4 linked regions of the Anolis sagrei genome follow. The protein of the gene in region 1 binds, or shares a complex with, the protein of each later gene. Links are inferred from orthologs where the notes say so. Each region holds a gene or a part of one and is shown on either strand. Other genes may lie near its edges. The genes, in order: MTOR, MLST8, DEPTOR and RICTOR.

Region 1 (7,950 bases):
ATAATAATAATAATAATAATAATAATGCTTTACCTGTACATTATAACTCCCAAATAATAATAGTAAAACTTTATTTGTCCAATATCACGTCCTAATAATAATCATAATAATACATTATCTGTACAATATAACTCCCAAATAATAATAGTAAAACTTTATTTGTGCAATATCACGTCCTAATAATAATAATAATAATAATACATTATCTGTACATTATAACTCCCAAATAATAATAGTAAAACTTTATTTGTGCAATATCACTTCCTAATAATAATAAAATATTATCTGTACAATATAACTCCCAAATAATAATAATAATGGGCAAATATATAATATATAACATTACAAATATATAATGTTTCTCATCTGCCAATAATAAAAGATATATATAAAAATAAAAACATAATAAAATTAAAATGTAAAATAAAAGCATAATAAAATAAAAATAATACTTTATCTTTACAATGTAGCTTCCAAATAATAAATCTGTGTAATATAACTCCATAACAATAATAGTAATACTTTATCTGTACATAACTCCCAAATAATAATAGTAATACTTTATCTGTTCAATGTAACTTCCAAATAATAATAATAATAATAATAATAAGGGCCAAATATATGATATATAACATTACAAATGTATAATGTTTCTCATCTGCCAATAATAAAAGATATATATAAAAAAACATAAAAATATAATAAAATTAAAATTAAAATGTAAATTAAAACGGTGCTTCGGTCCCGGAGGTGACTTCGGCAGCCGTGATACTGCATCACATAATAAAATAAAAACAATAATACTTTATCTTTACAATGTAGCTTCCAAATAATAATAATAATAATAATAATAAATCTGTGTAATACAACTCCATAATAATAATAACAGTAATACTTTATCTGTTCAATATAACTTCCAAATAATAATAATAATAATAATATATTATCTGTTCAATATAACTCCCGAATAATAATAATAATAATAATAATAATAATAATAGGGGGTTAGGGGCAAATATGTAATACATAACATTACAAATATATAATCTTTCTCATCTGCCAATAATACAAGAAAGATATACACACACGTATTTGTGTGTTTGTGTATATATAAACATAAAATATATAATAAAAGAAAAAAGAAAAATATAAAATAAAAGCATAATAAAATAATATAATATGATAAAATATAATAATAATATAAAAACTAACTCTCCAAACTCCCTTCCACATTTACTGGTGCTAGGGACACAGGACCCCCCCCCCCCAAATGTAACTTTCCAAATATATCATGTTTCTCATCTGCCACAAAGTCAAATTCTAGTGAGAGTCAGGAGGACAGATGGCCACAACTGCTCCCGGAAGCCCTGTCCTTCCGCCATAGCCAGGCCCCTTTCTGACCCTCGTTCGGTCACCTTCTGGCAGCGGCTTCATGGCGTTGGGTTTGACGAAGAGTTTGGGGACGAAGGGGGTGTTGGAGTTGTCCACTTTCTCCCGGAACCTGAGCTGCGGGCGCAGGATGTTCCTGGCGTGGAGAAGGCGGAAGGTTTCGGGCCGGGACCGCTTGCTAGCCTCGCTGCTCTGCTGGGAGGAGACATGGGCGTTAGCACAACATCACTCCCACATAATATGTAAACAGAAGGAAGAGGAGGTTCACCTTGCGGTTCCAGCTGGAAACGATGGTCTTGGGAGGCTGCAAACCCAAAGGCAGGACCGGCTGCTGGTTCTTGTTCACGCCGGCCGCTTCATCCAAGAGCGTGCCCTGCAATTATGAAGCCATACAGTCGGAAGGGACCCCCAAAGGCCATCCAGTCCAGCCCCCTCCTGCCACCCAAGCCCTCCAACTTATACAGGGCGATCGCACTCACCACGCGCTCCAAAATGGCGTCGTTGGCATCCACCAGCAGGTCGAACTTGTCCTCCAGCTCCGTCACGGTGCTCCGGTCCCGGAGGTGACTTCGGCAGCCGTGATACTGCATCACTTTGCTCATGCTGGGAAATGGTACAGAATACAGCTTCGTAAGAGTCATGTCTACATATTGGGAAGAAGGTCCTAAGGAGGAGGAAGCAGGTTTGCTTTCTCCAGGATTCCAATTTTCTATAGCCTTATGAAGCTTCCAATGTCTGAGAGGCTGGATAGCCATCTGTCAGGAGGGCTTGGAAGGTGCCCCCTGCCTGGCAGAAGAATAGGGTTGGACTGGATGGCCTTTGGAGGTCCCTTCCAACATTCGATGCAAGACTCACCATTGGAGAAGCCGGTCTCCTTGCGTCTCACAATAGGCCTGGAAGCCAGGAAAGCTGCGGTAGAAGTCGTACTCGTCTCCCGGCTGTGGGAGGCCATTGGAGGCCTTGGTGACAGAGACCACAGAGCCCAGGGCATGCTGGGAAGCAAGGGCAGGACAACCGTCAGGAAAGGAAGCCTTGGGAACTCAAGGTAGATAGTTCAGCCTACAATTATCTATCTATCCAGTTCCACCTCTATCTATCAATTTCTACCTCTATCTATTTATCTATCTATCTATCAACTTCTACCTCTATCTATCTATCAATTTCAGCCTCTATCTATCTATCTATCCAGTTCTACCTCTATCTATCTATCAATTTCTACATCTATCTATCTATCCATTTCAGCCTCTATCTATCTATCCATTTCTACCTCTATCTATCCAGTTCTACCTCTATCTATCTATCTATCTATCTATCAATTTCTACATCTATCTATCCAGTTCTACCTCTATCTATCAATCAATTTCTACCTCTATCTATCTATCTATCTATCCATTTCTACATCTATCTATCCAGTTCTACCTCTATCTATCTATCAATGTCTACCTCTATCTGTGTGTATATATGGAAAATAAATTATAAATTATATATATATATATATATATATATATATGACAAAAATATGAATAAAATGGGAAAATTACATTATATATAAGTATATAGCATATGTATGGTGGAAATTAGGGTATAATATATAGACATTGGAAAAATAAATTATATATATATATATATATATATATATATATATATGAGGGAAAAACGTATAAAATGAGAATAATTATATAAACCATATGTATGTATATATATGGAAAATAAATGATAAATTATTAAATATATATATATGAGGAAAATATGTATAAAATGGGAAAATACATTATATATACATACATATATGCATGGTGGAAATTAGAGTATAATATATAGAAATGGGAAAAATAATATATATATTATTTACTTTATTTATATACCGTTTTTCTCAGCCCTCAGATGGCTATATGTATATATATGAGGGGGAAATTGTATAAAATGGGAATAATTATATAAACAATGTGTGTGTGTGTGTGTGTGTGTGTGTATGCAAAATTATTAAATTATTAAATATATTTATGAGGAAAATATGATTACAATGGGAAAATTACATTATATATAGGTATATATGTATGGTGGAAATTAGAGTATGATATATATAAATGGGAACAATAAACTATATATATACATATGGAAAAATTTGTATAAAATGGGAATAATTATATAAACTGTGTGTGTGTGTATGGAAAATAAATTATAAATTATTAAAAATATAAAAATAAAAAGGAAATGTTCATTTTTCAGACCTACACCTCCCAGAATCCTCCTCTCCAAATGGGGGAAAAATAAATGAATGTAAAATATAATTATTTATATCACACACTCAATATAAAACTAACTGATGGATACGTATTATATTAAGATCATAATATAATTCTCTATGGGGAAAATAAGTTAAGACAAATTAAAATAAATATATTAGAATGCATATAAAATTAATAAGCAGAGATTACACTAACACAATATAATTACTGTATATTTAATATATTTAATTTGAAATAAATCAATATAAAATAACAAAAATAACAAAATTTTATTTCAATTCAATATTAAAATAAAAAGATTCCCTTTGAGGGGTAAAACCCAAGCCCAGCAGACATAAAAAGGAAATAATAGGTAGGAAAAGGTCCTTTTGGAGGACTACACTTCCCAGAATCCTTTAAGTGAGGCCTAAGATTCATGAATTGGGCATTCTTCCCTGAAAACTACAATTCCCGGCATGCTTAGCGCGCGCATGCGCTCTCCCGCTGGGGCCTTCTCCTCCCTCAAAACTACCTTCACGAAGGCATCTGCGTCCCCAAATCCGGGCAGGACGAAGCCTTCGCGGTCGGTTTCCATTGCCGTCGCCTCGTCGGGGCCGCTCAATCCTTCCTTCGCCGCCATTTGCCGCTTTTTCTCAGCGAGCGCCGCTTCCTTCTCTCACACAGCCGCCATCTTGGAAAAGAAAGCATACTCCCGCTGAATCTCGCGAAATTTCCCAGAGACGCATTTGATTGGTGTTTCCCTAATGCCGATCTTCTTTATTCTTTCCTTTGATTGGTCTATTCCCAGAAGCCCCTCCCTCGCGCTGAGCGGAGGCGGAGAAGGAAAGGTTGTCTTCGTGGTGGGCAGGAACCAACGCCCGTCACTCACCCTAGCCGCGCCTTCCTATTGGTCTGTTTAGTATTTCGAAGAAGCTGATTGGCTAGTCAAAAGAACGGGGTGGCAAAAGGCGAAGATGAGACTGAGGAGAGAGGTGAGTCGAAAAAAGGTAATTTTTGGGAAGTAAAGAGGACATTTTGGGGGGCAATTCCCCTTCAGAAGGTTTCCCTCAACGAAGGGGAATGTCCACCACGGAATTTACCTCACAATTTACCTCAGAACAGCAAGAATATCCTTTGTGAGGTGAGTGATCATGAGAGCAGGGATAATAATAATGTTAATTACTATTAGATAACAATAATATAATAGTAATTAACAACAATAGCAGGTCTAACATGGCCACGAATATTAATAATGATAATAAAAATAGTTATAATAGTATTAATAACACTAATAAAATGGCTGATAGGGAAGAGGATAATAACAACAACAACAATAATAAAGATAATAATGTAATGAGGGCAATAGCAATAGGGTAATAATAATAATGTAATGGCAATAGCAGTAGGATAATGATAATAATAATAATGTAATAAGGACAATAGCAGTACAATAATAATGTAATAATAATAGCAGTACAATAATAATAATAGTAAGGTAATAACAATAGCAGTAGGATAATGATGATGATAATAATAATAATAAGAAGAAGAACTAGTAGGATAATAATGTAATTACAATAGCAGTAAGTAATAATAATAATATAATAATAGCAGTAGGGTTATAATAATAATAAGGTAATAATAGCAGTAGGATAATGATGATAATAATGATGTAATTACAATAGCAGCAGGGTAATAATAATGTAATAAGAACAATAGTAGGATGATAATAATAATGTAATAAGAATAGCAGTAGGATAATAATAATAATGATAGCAGTAGAGGAATAATAAGAATAATGTAATAAGAATAGCAGTACAATAGTAATAATAGTAAGGTAATAACAATAGCAGTAGGATAATGATGATGATGATAATAATAATAAGAAGAAGAAATAGTAGGATAATAATGTAATTACAATAGCAGTAGGTAATAAGAATAATGTAATAAGAATAGCAGTACAATAATAATAATAGTAAGGTAATAACAATAGCAGTAGGATAATGATGATGATTATAATAATAATAATAAGAAGAAATAGTAGGATAATAATGTAATTACAATAGCAGTAGGTAATAAGAATAATGTAATAAGAATAGCAGTACAATAGTAATAATAGTAAGGTAATAACAATAGCAGTAGGATAATGATGATGATGATGATGATGATAAGAAGAAGAAGAAATAGTAGGATAATAATGTAACTACAATAGCAGTAGGTAATAAGAATAATGTAATAAGAATAGCAGTACAATAGTAATAATAGTAAGGTAATAACAATAGCAGTAGGATAATGATGGTGATGATGATGATGATAAGAAGAAGAAGAAGAAGAAATAGTAGGATAATAATGTAATTACAATAGCAGTAGGTAATAAGAATAATGTAATAATAATAGCAGTAAGGTTATAATAATAATAAGGTAGTAATAGCAGTAGGATAATGATGATGATAATAATAATGTAATTACAATAGCAGCAGGGTAGTAATAATAATAATAATCATATAAGAACAATAGTAGGATGATAATAATAATGTAATAATAGCAGTAGGATAATATTAATAATAGCTGTAGAGGAATAATAATAATAATGTAATAAGAACAATAGTAGGATGATGATAATAATAATGTAATTACAATAGCAGTAGGATAATAATAAGAATAATAATAATAATAATAGCAGCAGTAGAGGAATAATAATAATAATAATAATGTAATAAGAACAATAGTAGGATGATAATAATGTAATAATAATAGCAGTAGGGTAATAATAATGTAATAATAATAGCAGTAGAGGAATAATAATAACAATAATAATAATAATAATGTAATAACAATAGCAGTAGGCTGATGATGATGATGATGATGATAATAATAATGTAAGCAGAAAAATAGCAGTAGAGTAATAATAATGTAATAAGAACAATAGCAGGATAGTAATAATAATAGCAGTAGGGTAATAATAATGGAATAATAGCAGTAGCGTAATAAAGATGATAACAATGTAATAAGAACAATAGCAGGATGATAATAATAATAATAATGGAATAACAATAACAGTAGAGTAATAATAATAATGTAATAATAGTAGGATAATAATATTAATATAATAACAATAGCAGTAGTATAATAATGTAATAATAGCAAGAGGGGAATAATAATGTAATAAGAAAAAATAGGATAATAATAATAATTAAATAACAATAGCAGTAGGATAATAATAATGTAATAATAACAGTAGGATAATGATGATAATAGTAATAATGTAATAAGAAAAATAGCAGTAGGATAATAATTAATTGCAATAGTAGTAGGGTAATAATAATAATAGTAATAATGTAATAAGAACAATAGCAGTAGGATAATAATAATAATAATAATAATAATAATAATAGCAGCAGTAATGACACTGCTGCCAAGGATGATGATGATGATGATAATAATAATAATAATAAAGATAATACTAATAATGTAATAAGAACAATAGCAGGAGACTAATAATAATATTAATAACACTGCTGCCTACTCGGATCTGCACGCATTATTCGCCGATACATCACATAGTCCTAGACATTTGGAAAGTGTCCAATGTGTGATCGAATACAAAAGCCAGCAGAATTATCTTGTTTGTTGTGTACCAGTCCTGTTGTGCATCAAATAATCATAATAATAATATTGATAATAATAGCAAGCCTGCTGCCGAGGATGGCGGCACTTGCTGTGTTACGTTGCGGCCTTTTTCTTCCTTTGGCTTTTTCAGAATGGTTTCCTTCTGTTTCCAGGACCCTAAAGAACCCCATAGATTCTGATCCACCACCGCCACCATGTCGGGGACCGTCATTATCCTCCAGCAGTTTGCCACCGGCCTCAAGAGCAGGAATGAAGAAACCCGGGCAAAAGCGGCCAAAGACCTGCAGCATTATGTGACCATGGAGCTCCGAGAGGTGAGAGAGAGGGGGGGGGGGCTCCGGGAATGCGGGGCTTTGAATTCAGGAGCCCAAAGGACGGAAACACGCATCCTCTTTGTGTCCGAGCAGTGCCCATGAGACTGAACTTTTTCTTCCTCTTTTCCTTTGGTGTAGATGAGCCAAGAGGAATCCACTCGTTTTTATGACCAGCTGAATCACCACATCTTTGAGTTGGTCTCTAGTTCAGATGCAAATGAGAGGAAAGGAGGCATTCTGGCTATAGGTGAGTACCTGGGTCTTCACTCTAAATCAGTGGTCTGTAGTTTAGTTAGGCTTGTCAGCCTATGACAAGTTCACAGGAAGCAGTTATAATATGATAATCTTACGTCAGTAACTGTTGGAAAGGCTGATCTGCCAGGTAGCTT
Region 2 (7,680 bases), on another chromosome or scaffold:
GTGGGAAGTCAAATGACAACTGGGATCACAGGCAAGCATGGTCTGGGAGAACAAAATGAAGCGGGACGCAGGCTGATAGAATTCTGCCAGGAAAACTCGCTGTGTATAACGAATACTCTCTTCCAACAACCTAAAAGACGACTTTATACATGGACCTCACCAGATGGTCAACACCAAAATCAGATTGACTACATCCTTTGCAGCCAAAGGTGGCGGACATCCATCCAGTCGGTGAAAACAAGACCTGGGGCTGACTGTAGCTCAGATCACGAACTTCTTATTGCCCAATTTAGAATAAAACTAAAGAGATCAGGGAAAATACACAGACCAGTTAGATATGATCTCACTAACATTCCTAGCGAATATACAGTGGAAGTGAAGAACAGATTTGAAGGACTAGATTTAGTAAACAGAGTCCCAGAAGAACTATGGACAGAAGTCCGAGACATTGTTCAGGAGGCGGCAACAAAGTACGTTCCAAAGAAAAAGAAAACCAAGAAGGCAAAATGGTTGTCTGCTGAGACACTGGAAGTAGCCCAAGAAAGGAGGAAAGCAAAAGGAAACAGGGATAAGGGGAGATATGCCCAGTTAAATGCGCAATTCCAGAGGTTAGCCAGAAGAGATAAGGAACTATTTTTAAATAAGCAATGCATGGAAGTGGAAGAAGACAACAGAATAGGAAGGACAAGAGACCTCTTCCAGAAAATTAGAAACATTGGAGGTAAATTTCAGGCAAAAATTGGTATGATAAGAAACAAAGATGGCAGGGACCTAACAGAAGCTGAAGAGATCAAGAGAAGGTGGCGAGACTATACAGAAGATCTGTATAGGAAGGATAACAATATCGAGGATAGCTTTGACGGTGTGGTGAATGAATTAGAACCAGACATCCTGAGGAGTGAGGTTGAATGGGCCTTAAGAAGCATTGCTAACAACAAGGCAGCAGGAGACGACGGCATCCCAGCTGAACTGTTTAAAATCTTAAAAGATGATGCTGTCAAGGTGATGCATGCCATTTGCCAGCAAATATGGAAAACACAAGAATGGCCATCAGACTGGAAAAAATCAACTTATATCCCCATACCAAAAAAGGGAAATGCGAAAGACTGCTCAAACTTCCGTACAGTGGCCCTTATTTCTCATGCCAGTAAGGTAATGCTCAAGATCCTGCAAGGAAGACTCCAGCAATACATGGAGCGAGAGTTGCCAGATGTTCAAGCTGGGTTTAGAAAAGGCAGAGGAACGAGAGACCAGATTGCCAATATCCGCTGGATAATGGAGAAAGGCAGGGAGTTTCAGAAAAACATCTACTTCTGCTTCATTGACTATTCTAAAGCCTTTGACTGTGTGGATCATAATAAATTGTGGCAAGTTCTTGGTGGGATGGGTATACCAAGCCACCTTGTCTCTCTCCTGAGGAATCTGTACAAGGACCAAGTAGCAACAGTCAGAACTGACCACGGAACAACAGACTGGTTCAAGATTGGGAAAGGCGTCCGGCAAGGCTGCATACTCTCACCCAACCTTTTTAACTTGTATGCAGAACACATCATGCGATGTGCGGGGCTGGATGAATGCAAAGCTGGGGTGAAAATTGCTGGAAGAAACATTAACAACCTCAGATATGCAGATGACACCACTCTGATGGCCGAAAGCGAGGAGGAGCTGAGGAGCCTTCTAATCAAGGTGAAAGAAGAAAGCGCAAAAGCCGGGTTGCAGCTAAACGTCAAAAAAACCAAGATTATGGCAACAAGAATGATTGACAACTGGAAAATAGAGGGAGAAACCGTGGAGGCCGTGACAGACTTTGTATTTCTAGGTGCAAAGATTACTGCAGATGCAGACTGTGGCCAGGAAATCAGAAGACGCTTACTTCTTGGGAGGAGAGCAATGTCCAGTCTCGATAAAATAGTAAAGAGTAGAGACATCAGACTGGCAACAAAGATCCGCCTAGTCAAAGCCATGGTATTCCCTGTAGTCACCTACGGATGTGAGAGCTGGACCTTAGGGAAGGCTGAGCGAAGGAAGATCGATGCTTTTGAGCTGTGGTGTTGGAGGAAAGTGCTGAGAGTGCCTTGGACTGCGAGAAGATCCAACCAGTCCATCCTCCAGGAAATAAAGCCCGACTGCTCACTGGAGGGAAAGATACTAGAGACAAAGTTGAAGTACTTTGGCCACATCATGAGGAGACAGGAAAGCCTAGAGAAGACAATTATGCTGGGGAAAGTGGAAGGCAAAAGGAAGAGGGGCCGACCAAGGGCAAGATGGATGGATGGCATCCTTGAAGTGACTGGACTGACCTTGAGGGAGCTGGGGGTGGTAACGGCCGACAGGGAGCTCTGGCGTAGGCTGGTCCATGAGGTCACGAAGAGTCGGAGACGACTGAACGAATGAACAACAACATGATCAATAATATATACCCTGGACTTTCCAGAGATATATAAACCCAATTTTCCTAGTTTCCAACAGACCTCACAACCTCTGAGGATGCCTGCCATAGATGCAGGCGAAACGTCAGGAGAGAATGCTTCTTGAACATGGCCATACAGCCCGAAAAAACTTCAAAAATCCAGTGATTCCAGCCATGAAAGCCTTTGACAATACATTACTGTTATTAATGTCAAGTCAGGGGCGACTTGAGAAACAGTGTGAGAGAATTGGCTATCTGCAAGGGTGTTGCCCAGGGGACGCCTGGATGTTTAGATGTTTTACCATTCTTGTGGGAAGCGTATTTCATGTCCCTGCATGGGCAGCTGGAGCTGACAGAGGGAGCTCATCTGTGCTCTCTTCAGATTTGAACCTCCAACCTGTCGGTCTTCAGTCCTGCTGGCACATGGGTTATTATTATTCTATTATTATTATTCTATTATTATATTGCGATATTATTATTTTAATCTATTATTTAGTTTGTTGTTCATTCGTTCAGTCGTCTCCGACTCTTCGTGACCTCATGGACCAGCCCACGCCAGAGCTCCCTGTCGGCCGTCACCACCCCCAGCTCCTTCAAGGTCAGTCCAGTCACTTCAAGGATGCCATCCATCCATCTTGCCCTTGGTCGGCCCCTCTTCCTTTTACTTTCCACTTTCCCCACATTATTTAGTATATTAAATTATTTAGTATATTAAATAATTATTTAGTATATTATTATTATTATTGCTTTTTTTATATCCCGCTCCCTCCCCTGATGAGACTCAGAGCAGCTTACAAAAAAAAAGAAACAAACAATAATAAACACACTGTCAAAAACAGCCTCAAACAGAGAAGAGTTATTTCTCCTACCCTGTACATTATTTCATAGATATATAAACCCGAATTGCCTAGTTTACAACAGACCTCACAACCTCTGAGGATGCCTGCCATAGATATGGGTAACGTCAGGAGAGAATGCTTCTGGAATATGGCCATACAGCCCAGAAAACTCACAGCAACCCAGTGATTCTGGCCATGAAAGCCTTCGACAACACAATGTCAAAAATAACTCAATAACAATAAAATAAACAAGGCAAACACAAAACATTGTTGCTGTTATTGTTGTTGTTGTTGTTGTTGTTGTTATGAATTACCCCCTTCTAGCCATCTGTCCCATCCAGGGCTGGGCAAAGATGATCCTTCCAGATATTATTATTACTATTATTATTATTGTTACTAGATTATTAATATATTACATTATTAATAATGTTATGTGGGAAAGAGAAGATCTCTCCACTTAATATTATTAGTACTAATATAATAAATTATTATTTTTATTAGCCTCTTCTAGCTTTTCTGCTTCATTCAGAATTATGAAGAGCAGATTCCTTCACTTATTAATATTATTAGTACAATATAATAATAATAGTATTATATTGAATTACATTATAACATCATTATCAATATTACATGTATATGCATTATATTAGCATAGCACAATATTAGTATTATACATTACTATATTAATAATATTACATGTAATATATAATATACAATTATTATATATAATTATAAAGTACTATATTATTATTATTATATATAATACACTATTAGTATATTATATTATTGGTATCATAACATATATTGTACTATTATAAGTTGTCGTATATATTATATATATTACAACATTATTATTATATATATTAGTATTATTACATTAAAATGTTATTATTGTATGTATACCTCTCTTAATGCATTGCATATATATGCATGTGTGGTGGTGCAATGCATTAACAGAAGTATATAAATATATACATATATATATACACACACATTGTATATTTACTATGTATATATGCATACTCCTATTAATTTGTCTTATTGTTTGCTGTCTGAAGTCCCTATATTGGAAGCCAGACAGGATTTATGATTTATGCATTATCATAAATCATCATTTTCTATATCAAAAACATCATCATCCAGGGACTGGAGGCTTGGGTGAGCTTCCCTGACAGACGCTACTGCGCATGTCCGAGTTGGGCCCTGCTCTGGCTTTCCCACTCTCTGCCGACAGGTGTCGCTGCTTCCCTATGGGGCGGCCATAGAACTAGGAACACTTTCCCATGTGTTCTAGGGTCTCTTCTGCGCATGCGGACTGGTTTCCTCGTTTCACATGCGCACTAGGTGCCCAATGGATGCTCGTGTGCGCATGCGCCGTGGCTGTCTTGTTCCTAGTCTGCCTGTCTGCCCAGTAGTCCTTCCTTTAATTCCGAAGGTAAGTAGCAATTCCCCCACCCAAAATATTTATATTTCTTATACTTACGTTTGTGTAATTTCTGAGCTCAAGGTTGTCCATTTTCTGCCCTAATTTATGCTGACAATGAGCCCTGCAAGATGGGAATAAGAGGCTCAATGAGGACCAGAAGCTTGGATCTCCCAGCTTAAGGGCCTCTAAACTCAGAGACCCTACAACAACAACAACAACAACAGTAATCATAATGATGCAGACTGTGCATTCCTTTTTCCCAAATACTCCAAAATGATCCCCATTTGCGAGAGTTTTAAAATGCATTTTATTATTTTAATTTCTCTTTGCTGTAATGTCAGAAGGTCCTTAATTGTTTATTATTTCAATGCATGTACATTGCTTCATTGAGTAGTTTTTAATGCCTTTTTAATATGTTTATGTCCATTTGCTTTAATGATGGAAAGGGCCAATTTTTATTTTTATTTATTTATTTAGGGTATTTCTACCCCACCTTTCTCCGCAACTGGGACTCAAGGTGGCTTACAGCATACCAACATATAACATTCATCATAAAAAGGTAAAACCATAATAAAAACATCGATACATAAAATAAGGTAAAAGCAATAGCCTCCCCCGTGTTTGCTTCCCTATGTACCAACATTAAAATCCCTAATATCCTCCCATACTTCAGTTAAAAGCCTTATTAAACGGAAAGGTTCTATGCTTCTATGCATGTACGTCACTTCATTGAGTAGTTTTTAATGTATTGTACTATTTTATATGCATTTGTTTTAATGGCAGAAAGTGAGGGTAGAGGAAAGGATGGGAAAGGAAGGAAGGGAGAAAGGAAGGAAGGAAGGAAAGAAGGGTGAAAGGCTGGAAAAAAGGAAGGGGGAGAGAAGGAGGGATAGAAGGAAGGGCAGGTCTATGAGGGAAAGCAAGGGAAGGAAGGAAGGGAGAAAAGGGAAAGAAGGGCAAGGGAGAGAAAAAGGAAGAGGAAGGAAGGAAGGACGGACGGATGGGTGGAAGGAAGGAAGGGAAGAGAGGAAGGAAGGATGAAAGGTTGGAAAAAAGGATTTGGGAGAAGAAGAAGGAAGGATGGAAGGAAGAAGCAGGGAGGTTGCATGAGGGAAGAAGGAAGAAAGGGAGAAAAGGGAAAGAAGGAAGGAAATGGGAGACAGAAGAGGAAGGGAGAGAGGGAGGGGGAGAGAAGGAGAAGAGAAGGTCGAAAGGCTGGAAAGAAGTGGGAAAGAAGGAAGGAAGGAAGGAAAAAGCAGGGAAGGTATAAGGGAAAGCAAGGGGAGAAGGAAAGGGGAGAGAAAAAGGAAGGAAGAGGGAGAGAGGAAGGAAAGAAGGATGGAAGGAAGGAAGAGAAAAAAGGAATGAAGGAAGAGGGAGAGAGGAAAGAAGGAAAAAAGAAAAGAGCAGAGAAGGTGTATGAGGGAAAGCATAGAAAGAAGAAAGGAAGGGGGAGGGGAAAAAAAGAAGGAAAAAAGGAAGGAAGGGAAAAAAGAAAGGAAGGAGAAGGTGTAGGAAGGAAACAGAGAGGAAGGAAAGAAAGAACCATAAAGAAGATGAAAACTGGAGTCCAGTAAGAAAGACCTTTGTGTGGATGTTTCCTCAGGCCACAGAGGCATGAACACCGCACAGGGCACCGTGGGCAGCGACCCAGTCATCCTGGCCACCGCTGGCTATGACCATACTGTCCGCTTCTGGCAGGCCCACAGCGGGATCTGCACCCGGACCGTCCAGCACCAGGACTCTGTATCCTTTGGCTGCATGGGAAGGCAGAATGCTGGGGTTTACAACCTTCCTAGGGGTTTTTTGGAGGGCTGGATGGGGTTGCCTTCTGTTTGCCCCTTAACCCCTTTTGCCAGCAGGTCAATGCTCTGGAGATCACCCCGGACCGGACCATGATAGCTGCAGCCGGTAAGGATGCCATCTGCAGACAGCATGGTGTAGCATAGTTTGTGTGCTTATTACATGCTTTCAAGGGAGCATCTACACTGTGGAATGAACACAGTTTGACACCACTCTTAACCCCAGTGGCTCAGTGCTACTTTTTGAGCTTCTCTGTCAAAAAGCACAGGTGCCTGACTGATTTCACAGCTTCAAGCCAGGACAGTTAAAATAGTGCCAAACTGTATTACCTTCAAAGTGTAGATGAACACCGAGTCCACTCTAGCCGTATAGTTTTATTCTTAAAATCTTTTGTCAAAGAGGCAATGTTTCTTGATGTTTTACTTTCTTTCCTTGTAGTGCTAGAAGTCCACGTTATAGAGATTGAACCATTCTTGACCCACTTCAAGTGCATCATTCTACACTGTAGAACGAATGCAGTTTGACATTGCTTTAACTGCCATGGCTCAAAAATATAGAGTTGTAATTTTGAACTTTTTGGCAGAGAAGATGAAAGACTTTATAAACATACATCTGCAGAATTCATTAGCATTGAGCCCTTGTAGTTAAAGCAGTGTCAGGCTGCATTCATTCTACAGATGCACCCTGGGTCAATAATTATGTGTTTTTGAGAATGGCTGCCTCTCTCTGAGAAGTAGAATTGCACCTGAACCCTCTTATTTGTGATGCTGGCATTAATAAATAACTTCCAGGCCTTTGGGAGCTGAGATGGTGTCTCTTCTGCAGGCTACCAGCACATCCGGATGTATGACTTGAACTCCAACAACCCGAACCCCGTCATCAACTACGACGGAGTCAGCAAGAACATCACCTCAGTGGGTTTCCATGAAGATGGGCGCTGGATGTACACTGGGGGAGAAGACTGCATGGCCCGTATCTGGGACCTCCGGTTTGTGGCCTCTTTCCTCTCCTTAACCCTGATGGGGCTTTTGCACAACACTGTCATCCCACTTAGCATGGCAACAGGACCCTAGGATATCCAGTTCAGGAGGGGCAGCTAGAATTCTCCCCCAGAGAGCTCTAGTGCCTCATCAGACTACAGATACCAGAATTCTCCAAGTGCAGAACGTTATTAAATGTGAAATAGGCACAGAGCATGGAAT
Region 3 (8,003 bases), on another chromosome or scaffold:
CTTATATAACATATCCATATTCCTCACAAGAAAACAACAAAAGCAATGTATACACACAAAAAAGGTTTCCATGTATGGGTTGTAGGTTTTTCCGGGCTATATGGCCATGTTCTGGAGGCAATTTTTCTCCTGACGTTTCGCCTGCATCTATGGCAAGCATCCTCAGAGGTAGTGAGGTCTGTTGGAAGTAGGAAAAATGGGTTTATATATCTGTGGAATGACCAGGGTGAGACAAAGGACTTTTTGTCTGCTGGGGCTAGGTGTGAATGTTTCAGCTGGTTACCTTGATTAGCATTCAATGGCTTGGAAGTGCTTGGGGGGAATCTTTTGTTGAGAGTGATTTTATGTGCCTGTTTGTTTCCCCTCTGTTGTTTTGCTGTTGTAATTTTTGAGTTTTTAACATTCACACCTAGCCCCAGCAGACAAAAGTCCTTTGTCTCACCCTGGTCATTCCACAGATATATAAACCCATTTTTCCTATTTCCAACAGACCTCACTACCTCTGAGGATGCTTGCCATATATGCAGGCGAAACAACAGGAGAAAAATTGCCTCCAGAACATGGCCATATAGCCCGGAAAAACCTACAACAACCCAGTGATTCTGGCCATGAAAGCCTTCGACAATACGTTTCCATGTATATTTCCCCCTTTCCGGTGTCACCTATTGTCAACACCTTAATAATTCTGTACTCATCTCTCACTTATATCCATCCTGTTTCACTGTTTTCATACTCTAAGGACTTTATTGCATGAAGCTATTTGGGCAGTCAGGGATAGTGGCAGTTTACTGGTATGGTTATTCTTTGGATGTCTAAACTGCATTTCTAATTTTTATATGGAACTTTAAATGACTGCAATACTAGAAGTTTGGGGAGTGATCAAATATTTCATTTGGGGGTGTGGCAGCATTCAATTTGGGAAGCAATGCCCTCGATTCTGCCCCTCCATCGCAATGCTCTTACTGTAACATCCAGCCAACCCATATCTAGATTCTCCTTCTGTAAGGATGGTCTCTCCTCCCATTCCCTGGCAACCTGCATCTCCAGAGGCAGCTTTCCAAAAGGCTGTTATGCCCTCCTCCCTGATTTAATTGCAAATGTGATGTATCAATCTCTTGTCTTTTTCGCTTCCTGCAGCCCAGTCCACATCCTAGCCTCCAGCTCTTTCGCAATTCGCAGCCCATAAATGCCTTTCTTCTCTGGCTTAACAAGTTGTCAGCCTTCCCAGTCCTTTAATTAAATTAATGTTCCTTGCAGACCCACACATTCCTTCAATGCACAATCCCTTCTGCAGCCCAGAAAAGAGAGAGAAAGAAAACAGATACATTTAAAAAAAAATAACCCTTAAATCAATGGAATCATTTTTGCCCCAGACAGTTTGGGAGATGTTAGTTTTTAGACAATAATGATAACAACAAAGTCTATGTGTGCTTCTTTTGTCCACCTGCTGGGCATTGATAACAACAACAACAACGGTCAAATACAGTCTCTTTTGTCCACCTTCAGGAAATCAATAATAATAGTAGTAATAATAATAATAGCAATAATAATAATAACAGTCAGCATAGCGATCTTGTTTGCTGTGTGCTAATCTTTTTATGCATCAAATAATAGTAGTGGTATTAATAATAGTTTCTTATGGACTTCAGCAATATCAATACTTATAATAATAGTCCAATCTAGCTTCTTTTGTCAACCTACCAGACATCAGTAAAAAAAACAACCCATGATTATCATTATTATAGTCAAATATATTTTCTTTTGTCCACCTTGTGGGCATCAATAATAATAACACTAGTCGAATTGGGGTTTTTTTGCCCACCTTCAGGACCTGAGCAACAATGACATCATTGTGTTGTCCAAGGCTTTCATGGCCAGAATCAGTGGGTTGCTATGAGTTTTCTGGGCTGCATGGGCATGTTCCAGAAGCATTCTCTCCTGACATTTCACCCACATATATGGCAGGCATCCTCAGAGGCTGAGGAGTCTATTGGAAACTAAATAAGTGAGGTTTATATATCTGTGGAATGTCCAGGGTAGGGGAAAGAACTCTTGTCTGCTTGAGGTATGTGTGAATGTTGCAATATGCCACCTTGATTAGCACCTCCCAACAAAGGATTCCCCCAGGCAGCAACTAGCAAACCGCAGGCCATTGCAGGTGGCAAATTGCAACATTCACACCTATCTCTAGCAGATGAGAATTCTTTCTACATTCTACAGATATATAAACCTCACTTGCCTAGTTTCCAACAGACCTCACAACCTCTGAGGATGCCTGCCATAGATGTGGGCGAAACGCCAGGAGAAAATGCTTCTGGAGCATGGCCATACAGCCCCGGAAAACTCACAGCTACCCAATGACATCATCATCATAATCAATCAATAATAACACTGTACCAGTTTTGTACACCTTCTGAACAGCAATAGTTATAACAATAGCCTGAATCCTATTGGTTTGGTGGGTGTGCAAGAGCTCCCACTGAATTCTCTAATTCAGTTTGCTTCCAGTTGCTGTCCAATCATGATATTTCTTAACCATTGGGTGCTATTTACAAGGGAAAGGCAATGCAAGGAATAGATCTGTCCTAACACTGGCTCTTTGGGGTGTCATGCAAGGGGGGGGGGTGAGGCATTGCAAGAGCACACCCACCAAACCAATTCCTGAGTGGTGAGCCAAGCTATCGCAAAACCCCATAGATCCAATTCATTTACTCTCATTGGGACGAACAGGATACAGGTGATAAAGAATAATAATAATGGTAGTGGTTTGGTTCTTTAACCTGCTTCTAATTCTCTAATTCAGTTTGCTTCCAGTTGCTGTCCAATCATGCTATTTCTTAACCATTGGGTGCTATTTACAAGGGAAAGGCAATACAAGGAATAGATCTGTCCTAACACTGGCTCTTTGGGGTGTCATGCAAGGGGGGGGGGGGAGAGATTGGCAGGAGGAATTGCAAAGCCCTCTCCCCCAAATGCCCTTCTTTCTTTCTTTCTTTCTCTCCTTGGACTCACCTGGATTGCAGGAGGGGAGCAGCCTCCTCTTTCCTTTCTTCCTTCCCTTTGGAAAGCCTTGGGCTGGTGACAGGTTTGGGATGCAGCAAAGCCCCAGCCTAAGCTCTCCAGCCCCAAAGGCAGCAGCAGCAGCAGCGTCCCCCTCCGTCCAGCCCCAAAGCCATCTTCCCAGTGCCTTCCAGTGTCAAACGCGTGTCATCATCCCGACGCGGTTCGGTGTCAAACAGCAAACTGGTTCAGCTCCAGGTCACAAGAGGAGGAAGGGGCAAAGGGCAGAGGGTCCAACGAGGCAAAGGAGGAGAAAGAGGAGAAAGAAGGAGGAAGCGCGCTTGCCTGCCTGCCTGCCTGCCTGCCTGCCTTTTGCAGGATCCAGCTGCCGCTTTGCCAAAGCGAGGAGGAGCTGGGGAAAGCTCTCTCTCTGGGTTGGCTTTCTCTCTCTTCTCCTTCTCCCTCCCCTCCCTCTGCTTCCGTTCAATCCTTCCTGGGCTGGATCGACCCTGTCATATCATTAACCGCATTGCACTGGGTCATATAATGGCAGGGGAGAGCCAGCCCCTCGTCTCCTCTGCTGCTGCTGCTCTCCAAATGCGCGCACCCCAAAAGCGGGTCAAGGGGAGAGCGCCTCCCTTTGTCAATCCGGTGTACTCAAGGCTTCTTTCTCCTTGGGGGCGTCTACACCAGCCATGGGCAAACTTTGGCCCTCCAGGTGTTTTGGACTCCAAGTCCCAGCATTACTAACAGCCTCAGGCCATTTCCTTTCCCTCCTCAGCCGCTTAAGGAAGGAGCCTGAGGCTGTTAGGAATGGTGAGAGTTGGAGTCCAAAATACCTGGAGGGTCAAAGTTTGCCCATAACTGGTCTACACTGTAGAATTTATTTATTTACTGCATTTATATACTGGGTTGTTGTAGGTTTTTTTCGGGCTATATGGCTATGTTCTAGAGGCATTCTCTCCTGACGTTTCGCCTGAATCTATGGCAAGCATCCTCAGAGGTAGTGAGGTCTGTTGGAATTAGGAAAATGGGTTTATATATCTGTGGAAAGACCAGGGTGGGCCAAAGGACTCTTGTCTGCTGGAGCTAGGCGTGAATGTTTCAACTGACCACCTTCACTAGCATTTGATAGCCTGGCAGTGCCTGGAGCAATCTTTTGTTGAGAGGTGATTAGATGTCCCTGATTGTTTTCCCTCTGCTGTTTTGCTGTTTTAATTTTAGAGTTTTTTTTTAATACTGGTAGCCAGATTTTGTTCATTTTCATGGTTTCCTCCTTTCTGTTGAAATTGTCCACATGTTTGTGGATTTCAGTGGCTTCTCTGTGTAATCTGACATGGTGGTTGTGAGAGTGGTCCAGCATTTCTGTGTTCTCAAATAATATGCTGTGCCCAGGTTTGTTCATCAGGTGCTCTGCTATGACTGAATTCTCTGGTTGAAATAGTCTGCAGTGCCTTTCATGTTCCATGATTCGTGTTTGGGCAATGCTGCGTTTGGTGGTCCCTATGTAGACTTGTCCACAGCTGCATGGTATACGGTAGACTCCTGAAGAAGTGAGAGGATCCCTCTTGTCCTCTGCTGAACGTAGCATTTGTTGAATTTTCATGGTGGGTCTGTAGATAGTTTGTATGTTGTGTTTCCTCATCAGCTTCCCTATGCAGTCAGTGGTTCCCTTGATGTATGGCAGGAACACTTTTCCTCTGGGTTGGTTTATATACTGCTTTTTTATTATTTATTTACAGCATTTATATTCCACTTTTATCACCCCAAAGGGGACTCAGGATGGATCACAGTGGGGGAAAAAAGTATTTAGTCAGATACAGATTGTACAAGTTCTCCCACTTCAAAAGATGGGAGAGGCCTGTAATTGACATCATAGGTAGACCTCCTTCCTTTGATTGCTGGCATTTTCTGGTATTTCTTTTCTGGTGTTGTAAAATACCTCCCTGCTTAAGCAGTGCCTAATTTCTCTACTCATAGCTCACAGCTGTTTTTGAACTACTTAGGTGGACAGTGAGCTAGGCTGAAGGTCAGGTGCTCACCCCGACCTGGGCTTCAAACTGCCAACCTTTCAATTGGTGTGATCTATTGCTTCTGATGAGGAAAATCAAAAGCAGTTTCTAACATAATAAAGACAAAATCTAATGCCGTGCATACCTGTAAAAACCAAAACATAATAGCTAGACAATAACATAAAGACCTAACCAAATTAAAACATAAAACATAAAATAACATCAATAACATTTATATTAAAACTCACCCATCAACAACACTATTTAAAAAGTTATTAGAATCATGCCATTCAAAATCTAATCCATACTCGTTCTATTTGTTCGTTCACTATTCCTTGTTCTCTTATTGCACTAAGAACTTTTATTGAACTAAGAACACATTTTTACTTTCTTTCTGAATGTCAGGAGGGAGGGGGCTGCTCTAATTTCACTAGGTAGGGAGTTACATAGCCGAGGGGCCACCACTGAGAAGGCCTTGTCTCTTGTCCCCACGTCGCACTTGCGAGGGAGGTGGAATTGAGAACAGGGCTTCCCCAGAAGATCTTAATCTCCAAGGTGGATCATAGAGGGAAATATGTTCGGACAAGTAAGCTGGGCCAGAATTGTTTAGGGATTTATAGGCTAAATCCAGCACTTTGATTTGTGTTCGGTAGCAGACTGGAGAGAGTTGTGTGCTCCCTGTATGCTGCCCCAGTTAGAAATCTGGCTGCCACCCGCTGGGCCACTTAAAGCTTTCAAACAGTCTTCAAAGGCAACCCCACGTAAAGTGCATTGCAGTAGTCTATCCTTGATGTAGCAAGAGCATGGACCACCATGGCCACTTCAAAATGGACTCCAATTGCTTTGGCTCAATGCTATTGAATCCTGGAATTTGCTATTTTGCAAAGTCTTTAGCCTTCTCTGCCAAAGAGTGTGGGTTGCCTCACCGAACTATAACTCCCCCAATCCCATATCATTGAGCCATGCCAATTCAAGTGGTGTCAAACTGCCATATTTCTACAATGCCATATTTCTCAGGAAGAGCCCCCGGTGGCGCAGTGGGTTAAACCCCTGTGCCGGCAGGACTGAAGACCGACAGGTCACAGGTTCAAATCCGGGGAGAGCCGGATGAGCTCCCTCTATCAGCTCCAGCTCCTCATGCAGGGACATGAGAGAAGCCTCCCACAAGGATGATAAAAACATAAAATCATCTGGGCGTCCCCTGGGCAATGTCCTTGCAGACGGCCAATTCTCTCACACCAGAAGTGACTTGCAGTTTCTTAAGTCGCTCCTGACAAAAAAACAAAACAAAAACAAAAACAAAAACTAACCTCAGGAAGACGCTTTGCTGATGAGGGAAAGATGAATTCCTAGGGTGCATCTGCACTGTACAATTAGTAGTAATAATAATAATAATCATCATCATCATCATCTTTATTTGTATCCCATGCCATCCCTGCCAGAGGGGACTCGGGAGTGGCTTACAACACAAGAACAGTGCAGACCCTAAACAATAATTAATTAAGATAAACAACAAAATTAACTTAAGACAGCCAAAGCAGCACAAAAAATATAAAATAAACCAACATATTAAATGTATGTAGTCGGATACTACCTCAATTACTGTGGAATCATGGGGTTGGCAGTTTTGCAAGGGAGTTGTGGTTTGGGGAGAAATCAGATGTCTTCTCTGTCAAAGAATGCTGATTACTCCCCAAACCACAGCTCCCAGGATTTCATAGCATTTAGCTATGGGAGTCAAAGTAGAATCAAGTTGTATCAATTCTGCAATGGAGATGTTCCCTTCATGTGCCTGCAAGAGAACAGCCCCATAGGTTGGTAGGCTTTTTTGGGAGACACTGTAGAAATGATACAGTTTGACATCACTTTAACTGCCTTGATGTTATGGAGTCATAGGATCTGAAGTTTGGTGAGATACCATCAGTCTTTGGCAGAGAAGGTTCAAGACTGTATAAAACTCCAAGAGTTCATAGTATTAAGCCATGGCAGGCAAAGTGTGGCCACACTCAATTAATTCTTCAGTGTAGCTGAACCCCTTGTGTGCCTTCAAGTTGTCTGATCACTTAGGGCAAACCTATGGATTTCCATAGGGTTTTTATTTAGGGAAGGGATACTCAGAGAGGATTTGGACAGGTCCTTCCTCTGAAATATAGCTTAGTGCTCCCAGCAAAGTCTGGAAGCCAAGCCTAATGAGGAGCAGTTTAGGCAGCTAGGTATGTTGAGCCTGGGGAAGAGAAAGCTAAGAGGGGGGCATGATATGACAGATATTTGAATATTTTATTGTTTATTATTTGAAACATTTATATTTCACCCTTCTAACCCCGAAGGGGACTCAGGATAGAGCACAATATATATACGGTTCTGGTCCAGTTTACCTGTCCTAACTTATCTCCCTCTAGGAATCACCAAGGACCTTAAGAACATCTGGCAAAGCCCTGCTCTCAGTCCCACCGCCACCGTAGTCACGTTTGGTGGAGATGAGAGGTAGGCCTTCTCTGTGGTGGCCCCTTGGCTGTGTATCTCCCTCCATTATGAGATTAGATCTGCCCCATCCCTCCTGATCTTCCAGAAGAAATTCAAATCCTGGCTGTGGGATCAAGCGTTTTCAGAATAGACTAATTTACTGGTGAAGATAAGGTTGTAGTGGACCACAGTGGACTGATTTGGATGACAATTTGAATTGGCAAACTGTTTTAATGTATATTTATAACTTTTTAATGTATGTTAATTGTGTTTTATGTTATGTTATTATTTTGTGTTGGCATTGAATAGTTGCCTGTTGGAAGCTGTCCTGAGTCCCTCTTTGGAAGTTGAGAAGGACAGGGTATAAACATTGTAAATAAATAAATATATGGCAAGCATTTCATGCTGGGATATTAAATAACTATAAATATACACAAACCTTTTTTGGTTGTTTATTTGTTCAGTTGTTTCTGAATCTTCGTGACCTCATGGACCTGCCCACACCAGAGCTCCCTGTTGGCCGTCACC
Region 4 (8,380 bases), on another chromosome or scaffold:
GCACAAACTAATACAAGAGGTAAAAAAAAAAATTCAAAAGCTGGTTAAGTTTTTAGAGAACTTGTGCAATAGATTGACTTGGAACATTGTACAATGACCATTTGAACGGCCCAGATTATGCTTGTGGATTACGTGTTTAACTCTGAATGTATTGTTTTTAAATGTTTTAATTGTTTTAAATGTACTTTTTAATTCTGTTTTAATATTTATTTAAGTGTACATTGTATTTTAAAGCATCAAATCATTGCCTATATGTAAAGCTGCCTTGAGTCCCCTCCAGAGGACTCAATGTCGTAAATAAATAAATAAATAAATAATAGTTCTATAGGTGGATTATTTTAAACCAGTGCTTTTAAAACTATCCAATGTGGGGGATTGGCAGTTTATGCCCATATCTCACAAACTGGTAGTACATATGTTAACGCTTGGCTATCTTGGAAATTCAGTTGTTTATTCGTTCAGTTGCTTCTGAGTCTTTGTGACCTCATGGACCAGCCCACGCTAGAGCTCTGTGTCGGTCATCTCCATCCCCAGCTCCTTCAAGGTCAAGCCACTCACTTCTATCCATCTTGCCCTTGGTCGGCCCCTCTTCCTTTTTCCTTCCATTTTCTCTAGCATCATTACATTCTCCAAGGTACCCTGTCTTCTCATTATGTAACCAAAGTACTTCATCTTTGCCTTTAATATCCTTCCCTCCAAAAAGCAGTCAGGCTTTATTTCCTGGAGTATGGACTGGTTTGATTGTGCAGTCCAAGGCACTCCCAGAATTTTCTTCCAACACCACAGTTCAAAAGTGTCTATCTTCCTTCACTCAGCCTTCCTTATGGTCCTGATGGCCCATATTGTTTGTCCCTTGCTGGGACCACATAATCCATTGGAAACCCATTTCAACACTTTGACTCCTGGACTCTCCTCTACAGGGGGCCCTCTCTGACGTCATCAAGGATTAGACAATAACAGCAAAGCCAGCTGGGCAAGAACTGGAATTTCAAAGTGCACTGTATAAAAATGTCTGTTTTTGACTGCAATGTATCTCAGCTTACTTTTACGGATTACTGCATGCTGGCATCATTTTGAGTTGATTGAATAAAATACCTAAGTGGCTTTGTCTTCAACTTGGTCAGCTTTATTTCTAAACATGAGGCTTTTTCTTGCTCACCATGTGCACAGACTCACAAGGACAGCTGATTGTTGGTGCAGGTTGCCACTTATTGGACTCAGTATCAGTGCCTCAGGTTCTGTATCTACAGTTCAGATCTCACTATCAGTGATGTGGAGATATTGGAACTATAGATATTTATACATATATTGTATGTACATTACAAGCACTGAAATGTAGGAAAAAAATTAGGTTCTTTCTGTATTAGGAAGCCAAGCTGACAGGACAGAAAGAATGCGGAAGGAGATCTGTGTTGAAAGTGGGAGGAGAAGGGGGGCATGTTATCTATACACTCCAAAGACTGGTACAGCTTAACACAAGCCATACCTTCTTACTTCTAAAAGTAAGGATTTTCCCTCCCTCCCTCCCTCCTAACAGGTCAAAAGTAGGCCCCTTGGTGGATCTCTATTGTTGTAAGCTGCTTTAGAAAAAAAATGAAGACATGCCTCTTGCATGTAGAAGATATAATTTGATATTTCTATCATGCTAAAGTGATGTAGTGATGATGTTACATATGTAGAAGCATGTTTCTTTGTTTGCCTGCATTTGAAGATGTAGAAAAGGGAAAGTCAACGCCTTTATCCTCACTCTGGTTTGTTTTTGGACGCAATTCCACACCAGGGTCTCAGCTGAAATGTACCTTTTCTGCCTCACACAAAAGATCACTCTTGGTATTATCTATCCTATCAGTCATAACATCAGCAGCCATTTTAAACTGATCTATTTCAATATCAAGGAGCTCAAGTTGGATTTGTTTCTGCAAGGAGTTAAAAGCAAACTTTAAACTATCAGTTAGAAGTAGCTAACATACCACACTGTTACTATTTAATGGGTTTTTAAAACTTTTGTATTGTTCTTTTTAAACTTGTCTAGTATGGATTGTTAGCCGCCTTGAGTCCCCATGGAGAGAAAGGTGAGGTATAAACAAAGATGATGACAATAATAATAATAACAACAACAAAATAATGACACAGAGATTTATAAGGTATATATAACACATGCTACAAACATATGGGTACTTTACTCTACAGTGGGGCTTAGCTACACAATGTACAGGGACTTTTCATGAATACGAAAATCTATGAAAGCTCAAGTCCTACTATATACAATGGTGAAGTAAGATGGCATTTCTTATAGAACAGATATGGGCAAACTTTGGCCCTCCAGGTGTTTTGGACTTCAACTCCCACAATTCCTAACAGCCGGTAGTGGCTCTTGTGGCTCTTGTGTCAATATATATTTACGGATATTTCAACTTTGCATTTTTCTCATTCACACACATGCACACAAACCTGCTTTGGAATGGAAATGACACATTCCTGCCTGCAATTCCCAACTCTTGTCCCTTTCTTACTCTACAAAATTAAATTTCCTAAACTCTTGGTTCTGGTTTAATTACCAAGTTTAATAACCTAGGCATTTTTCAGTATTGCAGGTCTTTCTAGTGTATTTTTGGTGCCGAAATAAAATTAAGAAAACACAATACAGTTTGCAGTATCATTCATTTCTTTGGCAATTTTTCAAACTAATTTCAATCAATGTTATTGCTAACGATTGCAGCTTATTGCTTTGGGGGTGCTGTTACCTAACCTAATTATAGTATTGCCATTTATATTCGAAAGTGTTTTAACTGTATTGCATTTTACTAGCATTTACTGTTTAAAACACAAGATTTATTTTATTTTTTTTGCAGGGATTTAGAATTGTTGCACTTTTATCTTGTGTTTATTTATTTTGTATGATAATAGCCTACGGTCTAACAATTCATAAACTGTGACTTTTAAATTTAAATTTTAAGTATTGCACCATGTATTTTACTATATGTGTTTTGCAGTGGTGTGTTTTAATATATTACATGGTAATTTATTTTACATTGTCCTGTTTTGATTGTAAGTCCTGTTTTGGGAGAAAAGCGGGATATAAATAAATAATTAATAATAATAATAATAATTATTATTATTTTCTGCCCCACCTAGAGCTGTGGGGAGAATTAAAAATATAGTAATATTACTATTAATTACTAAAACTGCTACTTTTATTTTCAATGTGTATTGAAAATATGTTTCAGATATATTTCAGATATCTCACAACACAGAAATGTCAAAGCAAATTCTGTGTGTGGGGGGCAGCTGATATGGTTTATCTAATGCAATTTTCTGAATCAGCACCCCAAAAACCCAAACCGAATCTAAAGTTGACCAAAAACTGATTCGTAAGCCTTTTGTTACTCATGTTGGAGGATGGTCCCTGGTCAAAGTGACCCTTGGTCAAAGTGGTCCCTGGTAAAAGGGGTCCCTGATCAAAGTGGTCCCTGGTCAAGGTGATCTCTGGCCAAAGTGGTCCCTGGTTAAGTGGTTCCTGGTCAAAGTGGTTCCTGGTCAAAGTGGTCCCTGGTCAAACTGTTCCCTGGTCAAAGTGGCACCTGGTCAAAGTGGTCCCTGGTCAAAGTGGTTCCTGTCAAAGTGGTCGCTGGTCAAACTGTTCCCTGGTCAAAGTGATCCCTGGACAAAGTGGCACCTAGTCAAAGTGGTCCCTGGTCAAGTGGTCGCTGGTCAAACTGTTCCCTGGTCAAAGTGGCACCTGGTCAAAGTAGTTCCTGTCAAAGTGGTCCCTGGTCAAAGTGGTCCCTGGTTAAGTGGTTCCTGGTCAAAGTGGTTCCTGGTCAAAGTGGTCCCTTGTCAAGTGGTTGCTGGTCAAACTGTTCCCTGGTCAAAGTGGTCCCTGGTCAAGTGGTCGCTGGTCAAACTGTTCCCTGGTCAAAGTGGCACCTGGTCAAAGTGGTCCCTGGTCAAGTGGTCGCTGGTCAAACTGTTCCCTGGTCAAAGTGGCACCTGGTCAAAGTGGTTCCTGGATGTTTTACCATCCTTGTGGGAGGCTTCTCTCATGTCCCCATGTAGGGAGCTGGAGCTGACAGAGGGAGCTCCTCCACGCTCTCCCCGGATTTGAGCCTGCGATCTGTCGGTGTTCAGTCCTGCCAGCACAAGGGTTTTAACCCACTGAGGTGTATCTACATTTAAGGTTTATTTTATCTGTATTGTCGAAGGCTTTCATGGCCGGAATCACTGGGTTGTTGTAGGTTTTTTCGGGCTGTATGGCCATGGTCTAGAGGCATTCTCTCCTGACGTTTTGCCTGCATCTGTGGCAAGCATCCTCAGAGGTAGTGAGGTCACTACCTCTGAGGATTTTTATTTTATTTCTCGTGTCAGGGCAGCCAGTCAATTATATTACATTTCTAACAGAACAAAGCAAACAAACAGAGAAAATACAAAATGTGTGAGTTTGGTAGTTGATTAAATATCCTTTGTCCAGTATCTGGCCACTTGGAGTGCTTCTGGTGTTGCTGCAAGAAGGTCCTCCATTGTGCATGTGGCTGGGCTCAGGTTGCATTGCAGCAGGTGGTCCGTGGTTTGCTCCTCTCTGCACTTGCATGTCGAGGATTCCACTGTGTAGCCCCATTTCTGAAGGTTGGCTCTGCATCTTGTGGTGCCGGAGCGCAGTCTGTTCAGCTCCTTCCAAGTCACCCAGTCTTCTGTGTGCCCAGGGGGGAGTCTCTCATTTGGTATCAGCCATTGGTTGAAGTTCTGGGTTTGAGCCTGCCACTTTTGGACTCTCACTTCCTGGGGTGTTCCAGCGAGTGTCTCTGTAGATCTTAGAAAACTATGTCTGGATTTAAGTCGTTGACGTGCTGGCTGATACCCAAACAGGGGATGAGCTGGAGATGTCTCTGCCTTGGTCCTTTCACTATTATTGGCTGCCACTTCCCACCTCTGAGGATGCTTGCCATAGATGCAGGCGAAACATCAGGAGAGAATGCCTCTAGAACATGGCCATACAGCCCGAAAAAACCTACAACAACCCATTTATTTTATCTATCTGCAAGGGATGGACGTGGATTTGATAGAGAAGCCTCAATCTCAAAAGGCTGTAAACATGCAGATGCTCAACAGCAGGGAGGGGGGCGGGACATTGCCTTCCTGTCAATCATTGGCTCCTTTTTTTTCCCATCTGGGATTGGGCTGCTTGAAGTGAAGCAAGCGCGCGCACAAGGCGGAGGGAGGGGGAGGAGGCGCGAGAGAGGGAGGGAGCGCGCGCACACCAGGCAGCCTTCCTTCCTCTCTCTCTCGAGTAACCAGGCAAGCCAAAACCTTTCCCTTCCCCAGCTCTCGCGAGAGTGGGCGAGGTTTCCGGTGTTGTGAGTGCGGCGCCCGTCAACATGGCGGTGAACCTCCGCGCCCGGTCGCTGAGGCACCTCCGCATCCGAGGTGAGCTTGGCCGAAGCCGGGAAGGGGAGAGAAAGAGAGGGAGGAGGCAAGGACAAAGAAGGCGGCGGCGGCGGCGGCTTCTCCCTTCTCTTCCTTTCCCGTCGGGTCCGCGGCCCCTCTTCCTTTTCCCCATCTCTCTCTAACCCAGATCTCGTTTTCCCCTCCCTGTTCCCCACACAGGCCGGAACGACAGCGGCGAGGAGAACGTCCCCCTCGATCTCACCCGAGGTAATTGGGGAAAGGAGAGCGGGGAGGGGGTTGCGTCTCTCTAGGCGTGTGTCTTCAGAATGGGAGTGAATGGGAAGCCGGAGATGCAGGCATGGGAGGGAGGGAGAAAGGAGGGCGAGGCCTGCCTGGAAGCCTTCCCAGGCTCAAGGAGGGCTCGAGGTGCATCTTTCGGGCAGCCGCTACCCCCTCCTTCTCCGCAAGAGATAGAATGGTTTATTTATTTACCCCACTCAGAGCGGCTTCCCAAATGGCAATAATTCAATGCCACACTAGCCGTCCCCTGCCACGCGTTGCTGTGGCCCAGTCTGGTGATCTGGAAAATAAAGTAATGGTTTATAATATATGTAATTCCTTTATGCTTATGGGTAAACAGTATTTCTTCTTGTTTCTATGTCAGTGTTGATGTGGAGATTGTCTAGTTTGCCTACTCTGAAACTTGCAACATATAATTGTCCTTATTATTATTATTATTATTATTAACTTTATTTGTACCCTGCTAACATCTCCTGATGTTAGCGCCCCTCCCCCCCAGTGGCGCAGTGGGTTAAAGCACTGAGCTGCTGAGCTTGTTGACCAAAAGGTCACAGGTTCAATTCCAGGGAGCGGCATGAGCTTCCGCTGCCAGCCCTAGCTTCTGCTAACCTAGCAGTTCGAAAACATGCAAATGTGAGTAGATCAATAGGTACCGCTCCGGCGGGAAGGTAACGGCGCTCCATGCAGTCATGCCGGCCACATGACCTTGGAGGTGTCTATGGACAACGCTGGCTCTTCGGCTTAGAAATGGAGATGAGCACCACACCCCAGAGTTGGACATGACTGGACTTAATGTCAGGGGACAACCTTTACCTTTACCTAACATCTCCCGAAGGACTCGGTGCAGCTTACAAAGGCCAAGGCCCTCAATAAAATAATAGCATAACTAATACAACAATAAAACTCATAAAACAAACCAATAAACATTAAAGCAATAACAGTAAAACATCAAAAACAATAGATCATGACACATTTAAAACTAGCGCCAGGCCAAATGTAATGAATAAGTTAAAAGTGCTGGACATGACAGCTGAAATGTGGCCCAGTCTGGTGATCTGGAAAATAAAGTAATGGTCTATCTATCTATCTATCTATAAATGCTCTGTGCATAATGAGTTCCTTAAAAACAAATGAATCAATGAACGAAATCACACCAAATTTGGCAACAAAATGTCTCACAACACAAGGAGTGACCATCACTTGAAAAATTATAATTTTGTCATTTGGGAGTTGTAGTTGCTGGGATTTATAGTTCAACTCCATCAACGATGGAATTGAACTAAACTTGACACACAGAACTCCCTTGACTAACAGAAAATACTGGAAGGGTTTGGTGGGCATTGGCCTTGAGTTTGGGAGTTGTAGTTCACCTACATCCAGAGAGTACTGTGGACTTAAACAATGATGGATCTGGACCAAACTTGGCACAAGCACTCAATACGCCCAAATATGAACACAGATGGAGTTTGGGGAAAATAGACCTTGACATTTGGGAGTTGTAGACACTGGGATTCACAGTTCACCTACAATCAAAGGGCATTCTGAACCCCACGAACGACAGAATCGGGGCAAACTTCCCACACAGAACCCCCATGACCAACAGAAATTACTTAAGGCCATCCAATCCAACTCCCTTCATCAGGGCAGGAAAACGTAAACAAAGTCCTCCTGACAAAGAGCCATCCAGCCATAGATATAGTTAGATAGATGGATAGATATGATTCACACACACAGATATATAGTATCATAGATTTGAAAGGGACCCTTAAAGAAGGACAATGATATGTTGCATGTTCCAGAGTAAACAAACCAGACACTCTCCACATCAACACTGACAAAGAAACAACAAGAAATATTGTTTACCCTCAAGCATCAAGACATTACATATATTAGAAACCAGTACTTTCTCATTCCCTTTATTTTCCAGATGAACAGACTGGGCCACAGCAACGCATGGCAGGGGACAGCTAGTAATATATGTGATTCCTTTATGCTTATGGGTAAACAGTATTTCTTCTTGTTTCTATGTCAGTGTTGATGTGGAGATTGTCTAGTTTGCCTACTCTGAAACATGCAACATATAATTGTCCTTCTTGGGATCCTTTCAAATCTATATTATATCTGTGTGTGTGTGAATCATATCTATCTTTGTCAGGAGGGCTCTGATTACATTTTCTTGCCCTGGTGAAGGGAGTTGGACTGGATGGCCTTAAGTATTTTATGTTGGTCATGGGGGTTCAGTGTGGGAAGTTTGGCCCAATTCTGTCATGAAAATCATGAAACACTAACATTCATAACCAAAAATCATAATCCAGGAGCCGTTCCAATCACATTGCCATTCACTTCGTGGCTGCATACAGCCCAGTGCTACTCTCCAAACGCTTCACCATATGCCCCTTCACCATAACCATAGAATAGGAGAGAGCGGGCCCACCTGGGGAGGGAGTTTCATAGCTAAGGGGCCACCACCGAGAAGGCCCTGTCCCTCGTCTTTGTCAGCCGCACCTGTGAAGAAGATGGGAACGAGCAGGGCTTCCCCAGACGATCTTAGTATCTAGGTTGGTACATGGGGGAGATACATTCAGACAGGTAAGCTGGGCCAAAACCATTTAGGGCTTTATAGGCTAAAGCCAGCAGTTTGAATTGTGCTCGGTAGTAGACTGACAGCCAGTGGAGCTGAAGTAGCAAGGGTGTTGTA

Evidence for each region.
Region 2: the proteins of MTOR (region 1) and MLST8 are in contact, whole or in part, in a crystal structure (PDB 4JSV), measured with the Homo sapiens proteins. The link is inferred for Anolis sagrei from reciprocal best matches to the Homo sapiens genes MTOR and MLST8. Residues at the interface, in NP_001373429.1 of Homo sapiens: Leu2269, Arg2270, Met2271, Ala2272, Pro2273, Asp2274, His2277, Leu2278, Thr2279, Leu2280, Met2281, Gln2282, Val2284, Glu2285, Val2286, Glu2288, His2289, Asn2292, Asn2293, Glu2536; in NP_001186102.1 of Homo sapiens: Tyr20, His22, Asp42, Ser43, Gln44, Val45, Asn46, Tyr62, Asn87, Glu105, Gln148, Thr174, Arg221, Tyr222, Leu224, Ser268, Arg270, Gly271, Trp272, Trp274, Ser290, Lys313, Val316.
Region 3: the proteins of MTOR (region 1) and DEPTOR are in contact, whole or in part, in a cryo-EM structure (PDB 7PEC), measured with the Homo sapiens proteins. The link is inferred for Anolis sagrei from reciprocal best matches to the Homo sapiens genes MTOR and DEPTOR. Residues at the interface, in NP_001373429.1 of Homo sapiens: Met304, Gly305, Phe306, His1494, Cys1498, Trp1501, Gln1525, Asp1527, Ser1528, Glu1530, Glu1531, Cys1534, Met1535, Ile1536, Arg1538, Arg1547, Gln1554, Leu1556, Leu1559, Gln1562, Cys1563, Lys1566, Arg1683, Leu1685, Asp1686, His1687, Lys1710, Ile1711, Phe1714, Gln1715; in NP_073620.2 of Homo sapiens: Arg54, His56, Leu57, Lys58, Thr59, Tyr60, Pro61, Val101, Arg116, Lys119, Asp121, Gly122, Thr123, Phe124, Lys131, Ala132, Arg135, Arg138, Lys142, Glu177, Gly178, Glu179, Glu185, Cys304, Asn305, Lys307, Gly335, Asp336, Ala337, Val338.
Region 4: the proteins of MTOR (region 1) and RICTOR are in contact, whole or in part, in a cryo-EM structure (PDB 6ZWM), measured with the Homo sapiens proteins. The link is inferred for Anolis sagrei from reciprocal best matches to the Homo sapiens genes MTOR and RICTOR. Residues at the interface, in NP_001373429.1 of Homo sapiens: Arg1028, Asp1032, Lys1068, Leu1069, Asp1108, Asp1109, Tyr1110, Asp1150, Lys1187, Asn1196, Val1200, Gln1207, Asp1210, Val1211, Cys1214, Arg1215, Lys1218, Gly1219, Tyr1220, Thr1221, Leu1222, Ala1223, Glu1226, Glu1227, Asp1228, Leu1230, Ile1231, His1234, Arg1235, Arg1238; in NP_689969.2 of Homo sapiens: Leu204, Arg205, Gly206, Asn209, Arg245, Asp247, Val248, Glu249, Glu251, Arg252, Leu254, Thr258, Asp259, Phe260, His261, Tyr262, Arg263, His264, Ser265, Pro266, Asn306, Gly308, Ser311, Gly314, Val315, Cys317, Ile318, Pro319, Glu345, Ile347.

The regions. Positions count from the first base shown.
Region 1 is NC_090033.1:7,029,813-7,037,762, forward strand, and holds the start of MTOR (serine/threonine-protein kinase mTOR), read left to right. Parts: upstream 1-4,529; 5' UTR 4,530-4,609; exon of another isoform or gene 4,610-4,624; intron 4,625-4,635; exon of another isoform or gene 4,636-4,758; intron 4,759-7,399; 5' UTR 7,400-7,441; coding exon 7,442-7,561; intron 7,562-7,699; coding exon 7,700-7,808; intron 7,809-7,950. Other genes in the region: EXOSC10 (exosome complex component 10), read right to left, coding at 1,416-1,584, 1,658-1,762, 1,869-1,992, 2,245-2,381, 4,150-4,257. UniProt on the Homo sapiens protein: Serine/threonine protein kinase which is a central regulator of cellular metabolism, growth and survival in response to hormones, growth factors, nutrients, energy and stress signals.
Region 2 is NC_090034.1:21,489,901-21,497,580, forward strand, and holds the start of MLST8 (target of rapamycin complex subunit LST8), read left to right. Parts: upstream 1-4,591; 5' UTR 4,592-4,684; intron 4,685-5,152; exon of another isoform or gene 5,153-5,234; intron 5,235-6,281; 5' UTR 6,282-6,292; coding exon 6,293-6,421; intron 6,422-6,534; coding exon 6,535-6,586; intron 6,587-7,303; coding exon 7,304-7,466; intron 7,467-7,680.
Region 3 is NC_090024.1:21,848,835-21,856,837, forward strand, and holds the start of DEPTOR (DEP domain-containing mTOR-interacting protein), read right to left. Parts: upstream 3,590-8,003; 5' UTR 3,013-3,589; intron 1-3,012. UniProt on the Homo sapiens protein: Negative regulator of the mTORC1 and mTORC2 complexes: inhibits the protein kinase activity of MTOR, thereby inactivating both complexes. DEPTOR inhibits mTORC1 and mTORC2 to induce autophagy.
Region 4 is NC_090022.1:277,985,124-277,993,503, forward strand, and holds the start of RICTOR (rapamycin-insensitive companion of mTOR), read left to right. Parts: upstream 1-5,276; 5' UTR 5,277-5,372; coding exon 5,373-5,421; intron 5,422-5,601; coding exon 5,602-5,649; intron 5,650-8,380. UniProt on the Homo sapiens protein: Component of the mechanistic target of rapamycin complex 2 (mTORC2), which transduces signals from growth factors to pathways involved in proliferation, cytoskeletal organization, lipogenesis and anabolic output.